Elephas maximus indicus: one gene and its partners. Each later gene encodes a partner of the first gene's protein in a complex. Links are inferred from orthologs where the notes say so. Each region holds a gene or a part of one and is shown on either strand. Other genes may lie near its edges. The genes, in order: CALCRL, RAMP2 and ADM2.

What was found.
Region 2: the proteins of CALCRL (region 1) and RAMP2 are in contact, whole or in part, in a crystal structure (PDB 3AQF), measured with the Homo sapiens proteins. The link is inferred for Elephas maximus indicus from reciprocal best matches to the Homo sapiens genes CALCRL and RAMP2. Residues at the interface, in NP_001258680.1 of Homo sapiens: Arg38, Asn39, Ile41, Met42, Thr43, Gln45, Tyr46, Glu47, Tyr49, Gln50, Lys51, Ile52, Met53, Gln54, Trp69, Asp70, Gly71, Arg119; in NP_005845.2 of Homo sapiens: Trp86, Ile89, Tyr93, Ser94, Arg97, Leu109, Gly110, Pro112, Glu117, Ile120, Phe121, His124, Gln125, Phe128, Ala129, Cys131, Ser132, Leu133, Val134.
Region 3: the proteins of CALCRL (region 1) and ADM2 are in contact, whole or in part, in a cryo-EM structure (PDB 6UVA), measured with the Homo sapiens proteins. The link is inferred for Elephas maximus indicus from reciprocal best matches to the Homo sapiens genes CALCRL and ADM2. Residues at the interface, in NP_001258680.1 of Homo sapiens: Val36, Thr37, Lys40, Asp70, Gly71, Trp72, Asp90, Tyr91, Phe92, Gln93, Asp94, Phe95, Asp96, Pro97, Ser98, His114, Ala116, Ser117, Thr120, Trp121, Thr122, Tyr124, Thr125, Asn128, Thr131, Lys134, Val135, Ala138, Leu139, Leu141; in NP_001240774.1 of Homo sapiens: Leu106, Arg107, Val108, Gly109, Cys110, Val111, Leu112, Gly113, Thr114, Cys115, Gln116, Val117, Gln118, Asn119, Leu120, Ser121, His122, Arg123, Leu124, Trp125, Gln126, Leu127, Met128, Gly129, Pro130, Ala131, Gly132, Arg133, Gln134, Asp135.

Annotation. Positions count from the first base shown.
Region 1 is NC_064824.1:85,684,833-85,688,577, forward strand, and holds the start of CALCRL (calcitonin gene-related peptide type 1 receptor), read right to left. Parts: upstream 2,432-3,745; 5' UTR 2,034-2,431; intron 1-2,033. UniProt on the Homo sapiens protein: G protein-coupled receptor which specificity is determined by its interaction with receptor-activity-modifying proteins (RAMPs). Together with RAMP1, form the receptor complex for calcitonin-gene-related peptides CALCA/CGRP1 and CALCB/CGRP2.
Region 2 is NC_064837.1:49,608,004-49,611,748, reverse strand, and holds RAMP2 (receptor activity-modifying protein 2), read right to left. Parts: upstream 2,408-3,745; 5' UTR 2,311-2,407; coding exon 2,211-2,310; intron 1,756-2,210; coding exon 1,690-1,755; intron 1,564-1,689; coding exon 1,495-1,563; intron 1,283-1,494; coding exon 1,174-1,282; intron 1,034-1,173; coding exon 778-1,033; 3' UTR 527-777; downstream 1-526. UniProt on the Homo sapiens protein: Accessory protein that interacts with and modulates the function of G-protein coupled receptors including calcitonin gene-related peptide type 1 receptor (CALCRL) and calcitonin receptor (CALCR). Required for the transport of CALCRL to the plasma membrane.
Region 3 is NC_064822.1:196,826,285-196,830,029, forward strand, and holds the start of ADM2 (protein ADM2), read left to right. Parts: upstream 1-975; 5' UTR 976-1,433; coding exon 1,434-1,543; intron 1,544-2,119; coding exon 2,120-2,453; 3' UTR 2,454-3,745. UniProt on the Homo sapiens protein: Intermedin/ADM2 is a peptide hormone that plays a role as physiological regulator of gastrointestinal and cardiovascular bioactivities mediated by the CALCRL-RAMPs receptor complexes.

The DNA of each region.
Region 1 (3,745 bases):
ATATTTCAGCTCACCTTATTTGTGTAATTTTTCAATTCTATGTTTTGGTTTTCATATTTAGAACTGGCCGCTGACTCAATGCATTTGTTTTATGATGCTACATGGAAATATCATCTAGAAAGTAAATTTATTTCTTAATGACTGAAAGCATTCATAGGCACTCTGACATTCTATTATTAAATGAACCTAATTTTAGAATATAATAATATAAAATTTTAATTTAAACTTCTAGTGATTTACTCAAATAATGGACTTTTGCCTAATCACCCTCAGAGTTCATTGCCTAGTATTTTTCAACAGTATTAGTTGAAAATCAAGATTATAAGCCATACTATTGGTATAGTTATGAATAGCTAATTAAATTATGCAAGAAAATTATGGGGTTTTTGGCTAGCAATTAAATAAAAATTTGATAAATCTGGGGGGTTCTTCATTATAAAAATATATTAACTTGATATATCTTTCTAACAAAATGAATCTAAATTAAAAATAAAATTATTTTTATTCTATTCCATGACATTGGGTTAAGTGTCTAAATATGTTCTTTCCATTTCCTCTCCCAATTATCTAATGGCTATTTACAAAGTCACATTTTATAGTCCTTTTCCTATTTCCACAAATGTGTCAGGGAACTCAGTATAATTAAAGCTTGCAAGGGGATAGGATATCGAATACAATATTTTTAAAGAGTCACAAATCTAAGTATTATTTTAAGTTTCCATTATATTGAATCCCCAGTAGAGAATTACCAAGGAGTTATTCAGGATGAGTAACCAGACAACTATTAATATGCCAGATTATGGGTGACTAAGTACAGGATGCTCCCATTGAAGGAAGTCCTGCACAGTTCATATAATTTCACTTAGGTAAGAAAATATATTATTTAGACATTGTGTCAATCAACATAATTTGAATCCAAATCTGACATTGAATTTCCTTAGCAAGAAATCTGTGATCTTTATATCCACAGTTTATTAAATAGACACAACTTTCTTAAATTGTCTAGGACAGTCTGTACTGTTGGAAGGATCGTTAGCAGATGTTTCATCTCAACATTTCAGTAAGTTATATCCTGGAAATTCTTCCTCTTTTTTAAATACATACTTTAGTTTCCAGCTTAATGATCCGATATACTTCTTCAGGAACCCCTGTTATGTTTCTCTGGCCACAGATATCTATCACACCCTCCCCCGAAAGCTGGCAGAGGGATTCTAGACAAGTTAAACTAACATATGCTATTAGCTAAAGTTTTGAAATTAAGAATTAATATAACAATCTCTACGTTTTCTCAACCCTAGCTGTAAGTTTTTCTTTGAAGTTCACTCCATCATTCAACATAGTGAAAACAGTTCAGGGTTATCAAAAGAGAGTTTTAAACTCATCTGGCAACAATGAATAATGAAAATTCCATTAGTTCAATAGAGATGTATGTGTATATAGAGGTGAAAGACAAATAGAAGGCAAAAATAATGAATCCAAAGCTATTACTTTCCTTCTAACTATTGTGTTCAACCACAGAGTGAGACTCTGAGACTCAAAAAGTAGATATTCTTTCATCCCTTTTTTAGAATAGCGATTCTGTGGAAAGTTTAAAGAGCCTTCCCTGGTGTCGGGCGGACCTACTACAAGGCTTCCCAGGTGTTAAGATTAAAGCTTAGCTTTAATAAACTTTAATAATAAGGCTAAAAAAAAAACCAAAAAACAAAAAAAACATTGTTCCCTGATTAAGATATTTGCTCAGAAGTATGCGCTTTAATCCATTTCGATTTTTATTACTTCTGAAATCTATTTTCTAGACTACCATTGTGAATAACGGTATCTAGTAGTAACTTTTTTTTTAGTACTAATAGATTTAATGTGCATTTTGAGCTAATACACTGTACAGTCCCCTGACATGTGAAATAAATGAGAATACGTTTCAACACTATGTCACTAATGCAATGTTACTAAGTAAATTGAATAGCAGAAACATTGTTAATCTACATGAGAATGCTCCCTGAAATAAATATACCCAAATTGAATAATGCACTTACCCAGCACAGCTCCTAAAGGAATTCTTGGTGAAATTTTCTTAGGATGGAATTTGATTTTCTGAGATTCCGTGGAAGAGATTCCCCCCCAGACAAGGTGGGGAAGAGTAAAAGCCTTGCAATGTGATCCTGCAGGCAGAGTGAGATCCAGTTAGCAGAGCTTGGTGATCCTAAAGCAGGAGGTGACACTGTGCTGGGGAGAGAGGGTTTGTTCTCAGTAGATTGGAACTGTTGTCAGATTGTAAGAGATCAGCAGTAGAAGGGAAACATCAGAGCTTCCTGTTACATCACTCCGACCCCGCCTGCAGTTAGTGTTAGGTTACTTTCTTTCTCAAATAGCACACCCTAGGAAAGCAGCGCTCCTCTCTTATTCTGAGACAAGAGCAAGAAGCAGCCTGAACAGAAAGACATCATATGCTGCATGAATACATTGTTGCCAGCAAAGGCTGGCTGGCTTTCACCTTGACTGAGTTCTGTTAGAATTTGCCAACCAGAGCTTGCTATGATTTGAAGGAAGTCAGAATGTAATACTCTGCTCAACAAATCAAAAGAGTTAGGAGTGTGTGTCTGTGTACCTGTGTGTGTGTGTTTTGGATTATAGTTTACAAAGCATCCAGGGGGAAAAAAAATCATCTAATGTGTTTCTTCATAAATGACCATGGAAAAATAATAATAGCATTCATCACAATTAATTCTGTGATCCAATTCTTGTTAAGTTAGAACTGCTGATAATCAGATGCTGCTTCCAGTCAGTTTTCCACAATTAGACCAAGAAACCTTTCCCTGTAGTTTTCTTTTGTTTGTTCTTCTGTGTTGTTTATAAGCATATGTCTATGCATGTGTCTTAAACAAAGCCTGCGTGTGTTTGTGTGTGCAATAATATTTTTTCAGACTGTATGTTTAAGTGTATATAGAACCTTTTAAGAGTATGTGAATAATTTTAAATAATTACATGTATTTTTAATATTTGACTTATATTTGTTACCACTTATAAGATAAAATAATTTATAAGATTTGTACCTCAAAGTAGGCTTGAAGAAAATGTAGATTTACATATATATATAAAATGTAAAATATGGAACATACTTTAATTTTTTTGAAAAAATTTACCTCAAAAAGATCATCTTTATGTCAAAAACACATCCTGAATGTTTTTAATAAATCATTGAAAAGGACCAGGGAAGAACATTGTAAATATGAAATACATTTATCATTTTTGGTGATATGGTAAATGTGTAAGATGGAATGATAATTACATTATGATTCCTGAAGCCTACACAGCACCAAAGGTCACTTAATTTCCCCAGACTTGAATTTTCTCAGCTGTAAAATAGAAGCACTAGATCAAATAATATATAAACTCCCTAATGTCACTAAGACTATGAATTAATCAGTTTTATAAATTTGGAAATAAATAAGACTTGGTGATGATCATTCAGTTCTTAGTGAATCTGAGATCACAAACACTGAGAAATAGTGTTTTTTTTTTTTTTTTTAGGAGGAAAAAAGAGGTGCCAATACCTCTTGTAGACTAACAAAGGAGCATACACTGAAGGGATAGCTTGTTTCTAAAGTTCATGCTCCTGCTGCTTTTCGTGTTTATTGCCTGGATCCATGGAAGAAAATTATTACACAGTCTTTGATTTTAGGAGTAATGTGACCAAGGTCAGTAAAAAAGAAAAAAAAAAATACAATATATGTAAAAAATAGAGTAC
Region 2 (3,745 bases), on another chromosome or scaffold:
TGCGGCCAGGCTGTAGGCCACACCCCGGGGTTCAGGACAATGTAGGATGAGGGCCGGGATCTAGAAGAGGAGTCTGTGATGAACCTAGGAGAAGAAGCCTCTGCCCTCAATTCTAAAGTGTTTATGGATGGACTCCTGTTGGTCAGGTCAGGATTCCTACTTACAGGCCTCAGGAGTAAACCGAGGCATGAAGAAGGGGAGAAGTCAGAGCTCCTGGGTAGCCCCCCTTCCTTCTTGCAGGAGTCAGAGCAGAGATTCTGCCCTCCCCCCATACCTTCCCAATCGCAGGCCCCCCAGCTGCTGTCCAGACCGGAAGGGAGTCTCTTCCTGCACGTTTCCTGGAGCTGGGTTTGGATAGGGGCAGGAAGGGCCCAACCCTGGGAGGAAGGAGTGTAGGGGTGTGGCCTTCAGGTGGGAGGGGCCAGTGGGGGGAGCAGGTGAAAAAAAGCAGTGGGATCATCCAGATTCTTCCAGTTCTGTTGACAAAAGCTGAGGGCCTGTGGGAGAGGCAGGGACTCTGGGAAGGATGCAGGCTACACTGGGATGGGGAAGGGGACAGTGCACACACAAAAAAGGTTTATTTTGAAGACCGCATTACAGAGTTTGTGCCTTGACCCCACCCAGCTTCCATTTTCACCAATTCCAGGACCTGCGGTTGGGGTGAGAGTGAGAGAAGGGGGTAGAGAGGGGAAGAAAGGGGGAAAGGCATTAAGGTCTGAGGTGGGGCTGTGGGGGCAGGGGAGAGGAGTAATATAGCCACTGAGAAGCTTGTGGACCCTAGGCCTGGGCCTCATTGTCTTTACTCTGCCACACCACAAGGGTGACAAGGAAGGGGATGAGGCAGATGGGTGCTATGATCATGGCCAGGAGCACATCCTCTGGGGGGTCGCAGAAGGTGGGCTTAAGCAGGGAGCAGTTGGCAAAGTGCATCTGGTGAGTCTTAAAGATGGCCCTCTCTGCCCAGGGGTTGGGGAAGCCCAGGCCAGACTCCTCGGCATAGTGCTCCAAGCAGTAACGAAGTAAGCTATAAGGACTGGGATGAGAGAGAACTCCAGTGAGGAAGGATTGGACCCACAGAGAGGTGTGCCCCACACTCACCCCAGGCCCATCTGAAGAACCAGACCAGGGAGCAGGCCCACCCTGGGCCAAGACACCCTCCAGCACTGCCCCTACCTTCTAATCATGGCCCAGTCACACCAATCCTTTTCGAGAGGGTCCATAAGCTTCTTATACTCTAGCCAGCAGTTTTGGACATATGTCTCATACTTCTGCACCATCTTCCCTGTGGACACAGATGCTGCATATTTACCACACCCTTACCCCCTCCCCCCCCCAACTCTGCTCAGGACAGCCTTGGAAAGTTTCCCAAGCAAGACACTTCTGGCTGAGGAGGCAGTTTAGGCTCAGGAATCATTTAATGCCTTCCACATGTGCAGCACTTCCCACCTGACAAGAGCTTCCCCATACACATTTTCATGGGGTCTTCTCACCCACCTGTGAGGTGGGCCAGCTCAGAGCTCGGCAGGGGCTTTGTGCGATGAGAGGGAGAAAGACCACAGGAAACTCCAAGAGAACAGAAGGGAGTTTAGTGGGGCACCAATTGGGGTTGGGGCCTGCCTTGCAGGAAAGAGATCCTTCTGATTCTCCTCCTTGCTCTAGGCCACCCTCCCACAGCATCTGGGCACCCACCTTCTGACCCCAAGCTGCCTGGGGTGGTTACAGGCTGTGCCAGGGACTCCTGGGGCTTCAAGACAGCTGTGGGCAGAAATGGGAGAGGGAGGTGGGATGGCGGGGATCTGGGCAGTGGAGCCTGGAGGGGAGGGGTTAGAGACTGAGCCCCTGGGAACTCAGGGCTACTCTCAGAAGACAAAGAAGGCTAATCCGGGCTCCTAATGAATGCCTCGGTGCCCAGGAGAGAAGAGGCCGGTACCAGCTCCTTCCCACTCACATCCAGGCTGCCAAAGCCCACTCCCTCCTTGCCAACCCCAAACCTCCCTTGAGACTTCTCCGCGGGGGCCCCGGAACCCCAGCTTTCTCCAAGTGGGAAGCATCCCGCGCTGTGCCCGCGCGGAGGTGGGCCCACGGACTGTTCGAAGGACAGCGCTTGCCGGTCTGTCTGTCTGTCCCCGCCCCCGGGGCCCCTTCCGGACTCGGCCGTCCAGCCCCCCACTCTCCGGGGCCTCCCGCCTGGGCCCGGGGCGCGCGCTCACCGCCCAGCAGGAGGAGGAGGCGGAGCGCGGCCGGCCGCCCGGCGCGGGTCGCTGGGAGCCGCGGGCGGCCGGCGGAGCTCTCCGTTCGAAGCGAGACCATGGCGCGACGAGAAGGCGAGGAGCGGCAGCGGCGCTGGACCGGCCCGGGCGGGGGCGCCTATATCCCCGGCCCGAGCCGCAGGAAGCCGCGCCGCTTCCTCGGAGGGGCTGGGACGGCCGCGGCCACGTGGGGGGCGGTGGCGAGGCCCGGGGCCGCGGGCTGGAGGGGGAGTCGTTGCGGCACCCCGCCCCTGGCGCCCGAGCTCCCTCCGCCTTGCCGGCGTCGCCCCCCTTTCTTCTAGTTACGCCGCAGGGCTGGACAGCTCCACGCGTAACTTCAGAACGCGGACCCTTTTCCTGGACTCTTCCGCTTGGAGACTTGGGCTCGCCAGGGTTTCCCAGCATCCGCTCCCCTGACTCTAATCGCCCTCTTTCTTTTGGGGCGAGGAGGTAGGGGGGCGCAAGCTGCCCTCCAGGACCTGAAGAAGAGGAAAGGGGGCTGGGAGCTCGGAGGGCCTCTCGACGTCGCATGGGCCGTGGGGGAAGGGGCGCCTGGAGCTCAAGAGTGGCTTTGCCCTGGGAACACCCACTGATGTCAGCCCGCCTGCTAACGCTGGGTAGAAGAGGGAGCCGGCCCTCCCGAATAGTGAGAAGGCCTGGGAATAGGGGGAGAGGGGAAACCGAAGTCCAAATACCCTCCCCTCAGGGCATCTCCTGGGACCTAGATCACAAACTGGGTTGGGGGGGTGGGAGGGGCAAAAGTAAGAGTCCTACATTTCCAGCAAAAAGGTGGTCGCAACTCTGCAAGACCAAGGTTGTGAGAAAGAAAGGGGGGAGGGGTTTAGACCTCATTTATGAGAAACTGAAACTCAGGGAAGGAGCACAGAACTTGAGGTCAGAAGCTCTGGGTCCTAATCCTACCTACCTACCCACTCCCCAGCTCTATTACCTTGATGATTCATTTATCTTTGGATCCTCAGTTTCCTTTAATGTAAAACAGGGACATTACCCTCCCCACCAAACTTTGATGAGGATGAAATATGTGAAAGGGTATTGCACTCACTCAACAGATGCTAATTTCCTTTTCTAAGTGATTTGCCTAAAGTCACACTACTAGTAAGCAGCAAAGTTGAGCTTGGGGCTTGGGGCCCCAGTGGGCCTGACTTCTGCTACACCACAGCTGCCTTTGTGTCCTGGGCCGGGGCTTCATTAGCCTGGAGCATCAGAGGAGCCCAGGAGCTGGGATGGCCATGGTGTTCAATTCCCAGACACAGCTGTCAGCACCCAACTTTACTAAATTACTTCCAGACACTCACCCTTGGACTCAGCTGCTGCTGTTGTCGCAGTTTGCTGATTCCTCCTCACCACAAATTATCTTTCTTCATCTCTCTGTCTTAAAATCTTCGTCTCAGGGTCTCAGGCTCTTGAAATGTGGCTGCTGAAAACCTGTTGTCTTCCTCCATAGCTGAGGTCAAGAGGATGCTTTAGTAAGGCAT
Region 3 (3,745 bases), on another chromosome or scaffold:
TTGATCACCTCACCCTCCCCACCCCCCACCACGAACCTAAAGAAACAGAAACACAAGATCTGCCCAGGGTTCTCCACCATTAGGGGAGGTGAACAAGCTCTTCAGTAGGGCACGTGTGCAGCCCTTGTTGATTCATTCACCCGGCAAATGTTTATTGATGCGCACCACAGGGGGGACTTGGCAGGAAACGCAGGAGGGGACCAGGGTGACCAGGTCTTCCATGAGCCTAATAGAGGGCCTTGAGGGCAAGGGTAAGACTGAAGAGGGGGTGCAGAGGAGGCAAAGAGAAGCTGAGCTAACCGAAGGGGTGTCTATTGAAGGGCAGCAAGGTCGCCACTACCTCTCAGGTTGACAAAGCAAAGAACAAGCGATGCCCATGCACTCTTGGTGGAGGGTTAGACGGTGCAGGCTTACAGAAGACACAGACTCAGCCTGCCACCCAGTGTGTCCACCTCCAGGAAGAGGACGGGCCACGTTTGTGCGCTAAGATAGCAGTCAGGGCAGACCGGACAGCAGGGGTCCAGCTCCAGAAAAGACGGGTTAGGATTCGTTAAGTGAGTCACAGCACAAGTACGTTGGAGCGGACCAGCCTACAGGAACAATGGGGGTCTCTGTATTTACACGTATTTTGTATATATGTGCCCGTGTGCAATGCACACACGAAGTCCTCTCCAAAACCAGAAGACCAGAAAGCTCTGCCCCCCCCCCCCCCCGCCCCGGCACACAGAAGAATCCACAGCGGGGGCGATGGGTGGCCATCCTCACTTTTTACTTAGTTGAATTTCTTATAAAAAAAATTTCATCCGTTGGTAATGGGGGCAAATGGGTAGATTTTTAGAACACAGCCCCTAGATGATTCTGAGGAGGGGTCCGGAAGTTGCCTCCGTAGGGAATGGAATGGCGAGCTCGGCGCCCAATTCGGGCCCCCCCCATCTCCGGAGCTCAGCCGGGCTCTGGGGGGGAGGGGGTGGGGCAAGGCTCCGGGCAGGGCTCCTGGGGAAGGAGGTGCCGCCAGGCGACACCGGAGGAGCCGGACCGTCAGCTTTTAGCCCTGAACTCCATCCCCGGAGGCGCGGGGCTGAGGAGGGGCGCCCCGCCCAGTGGACGGCCGGCTCCACCTCCTCCTGGAAAGACGATTTTTCTCTAGACGGTACCGAGGGCCGGCGGCGTCCCAGGAGAGATCCCGAACTGCGAACTGGCCGAGTGACTCCTGACCTGCAGTCCTCCGCGCCCCGGACGCACCGACCGAGTCCGGCCTTGTTCGGCGGCAGGACCCGGGGACTGCAGGACCCCAGGATCCAGCCTGCCCCGCCACCACCCGGCGCCCCGACAGCGGAGGGCTCCCCAAGTGCGGCGGAGGAGGTGGCGCGACGCCAGGGCCGGCGCCCCACGACGCCGCCCCACCCGCCCAGCTCGCCTGCTTCCCGCCTGCCATGGCGCGGCTCCTGGCAGTTACCCTAGGCTGCGTCAGCCTCCTGTACCTGCAGCTCCCTGGCGCGCTGTCCCTCGGCCTAGGGGGGCGCCCGCGCTCCGCCCGACTCAGGTGAGTGCGGCTGGGACCAACTCCAGCCCTGGCCCTGTCGTAGCAGGAAGCCAGGATGTCTGGCGAACCCCCCATCAAGGGCCAGGCCCCATGCCATCACCAACACCTGAGCCACAGGCATCTTTTGCTCCCCACCACAGGGCACTTGCCCCGACCTCCTCAACAAGGAGGGATCTGCTGGGGGAGTGCAGGAGGGAGCCCCAGGCCTGCCTAGCTCCCACCACTCCAAGGGATGGGTCCAGGAGAGTCACCCCAGGCTCTGAGTGTAGTGACCCACAGAGGCACTTTGCCTGAGGAGTCACAGGTTAATGGGGCATGTGACCTGGGGCCACTGAGATGGTTGAGCAGCCAGGTCCCAGGCCCTGAGCCCTAAAAGAGATAGTGGGCTTCCCCTGGCAGTGTCCCAGGCTGGGTGTGGGTGGGGGCTCTGGGATTCCCCTGGAGGTGGTCCAGGCATATTGGGGAAGCCATGGGCTTCCCCTGCTAGTGATCCCAGGCCTGCATGGAGGGGAAGTGGGTGGGTTTGGAATCCCTAAATGGCTGGACCATCCGGTTTGCTCCTCCCCCACCCCGCAGGGTTCCTCCCGCCCGGACTTATACCAGCAGCCTGCATCCCCGGCGCCCTGCACCCCAGCCTGTGGTCTGGAAGCCTCACCAGGCCCCTCAGCCACAGAAGGGCACTAGCCTGGCCCCTGCTGTGAGCCAACCTCTTCAGAACTACGGCCGAAGACACTCGGGCTCCCGTCACCCAGGCCCCCGCAGACCCCGAGCCCAGCTCCTGCGGGTGGGCTGTATGCTGGGGACCTGCCAGGTGCAGAACCTCAGCCACCGCCTGTGGCAGATTGTGGAGCAGGCCGGTCAGCGGGACTTGGCCCCTGTCGACCCCAGGAGCCCCCACAGCTACGGCTGAGGTGGGCCAGCCACAGCCCCCCTGCCCTGCCTAATACTGCGTCCAGAGCTGCAGACAACGGACACCCAGAAAGGGGTGCAGGCACCAGAGGAGCCTGTCCCCACACCCCAACCTCCCTCACACTTGAATGTGGTTCTGGACCTGTAAACCCATGTGTATGTGGACACCAGGCAGGCCTCACCCAGGGGACCTGCACACCCCCACATGTGCACGCCAAGGGGCAGGCGGTGCTCCCCTCCCTGTACCCGCGCAAAACAGGACTTGGGGGGAGGGGCCTTGGCAGATGGAGCAGAAGCCAGGGTCCCGAACACCCAGGGCCAGAGGAGAGGGGCTGGGTGGACTAGATGCGTCCCCTCCTTGATGGGTTCCAGCGTTGGATCGAAGCCCTTCTTGACAAGTCCTCCCAGAGGTCTCAGCTTGCTCCTTTCCCACCTCATCCCCCAGGCAGGGCTGAAGGGCAGAGGATTGGACAGCCTGGGGCATGCTGTGGTCCAGGTCGGGATGGGGGGAAGGGGCCACACAGGAGCTCTGGAACTACCCTGGCCATTCTGGGGTGAAGAGTGGAGCAGAGCCAGGGGATCCAATGCCAGCCCAGGGCTGGGCTGGGGTGAGGGGCCCCCAAAATAGATAAATAAAAGTCCCTTTCCACCTCAAAGGGGTAGAGGTGGCTGAGCAAGTATAGAACTGAGCAGGTGACACAGACCCTGGCCCTGGAGACTCAGTGGGACAGCAAGGAACATCAGGTCTTGAACAGGCTCCCTCCCCTGAGCCCTGCCAAGCCTGGGGAGACCTCAAATGATAGCAATAAGAACAATGACCGCAGCCAGCACGTGTGCAGTTCTTGGTGTGTGTCTGCCCCATGTCGTCAGAGTCCTGCGGATACCCCACACTACCCCAGAGAACCTGGGCTTCACTCACATAGCACCTCGTCCGCATAGCCCCCCGTGAGGTGGGCACTACTCTCACCCCCACTTTAGAGAGGTCAGAGACTCACCCTCTGTCTCTGTGGTCCCTGTCACTGACTAGAATTGCAGCAGAAGGTGGTCAGGGCCGTAATGGGGAGCATGGCAAGGCAATCAAGGAGGGCTGTCCAGAAGAAGAGTGGTTTAGGTGGGACTAGAGGAACAGCAGGGGTTCACCAGGGGAAAAACCCTAGAGCTCCGAGGCTCAAGCCTACAGAGCATGTGGCTGGGGTAGCCTGGCAGCCAAAAGGAGCCCAGTTGAGTAGGAGTTGGAGAGGCCCGGGACCTGGCCTCAAAGCCATGTGCCCTGTGACCACTGAAGGGTGTCGA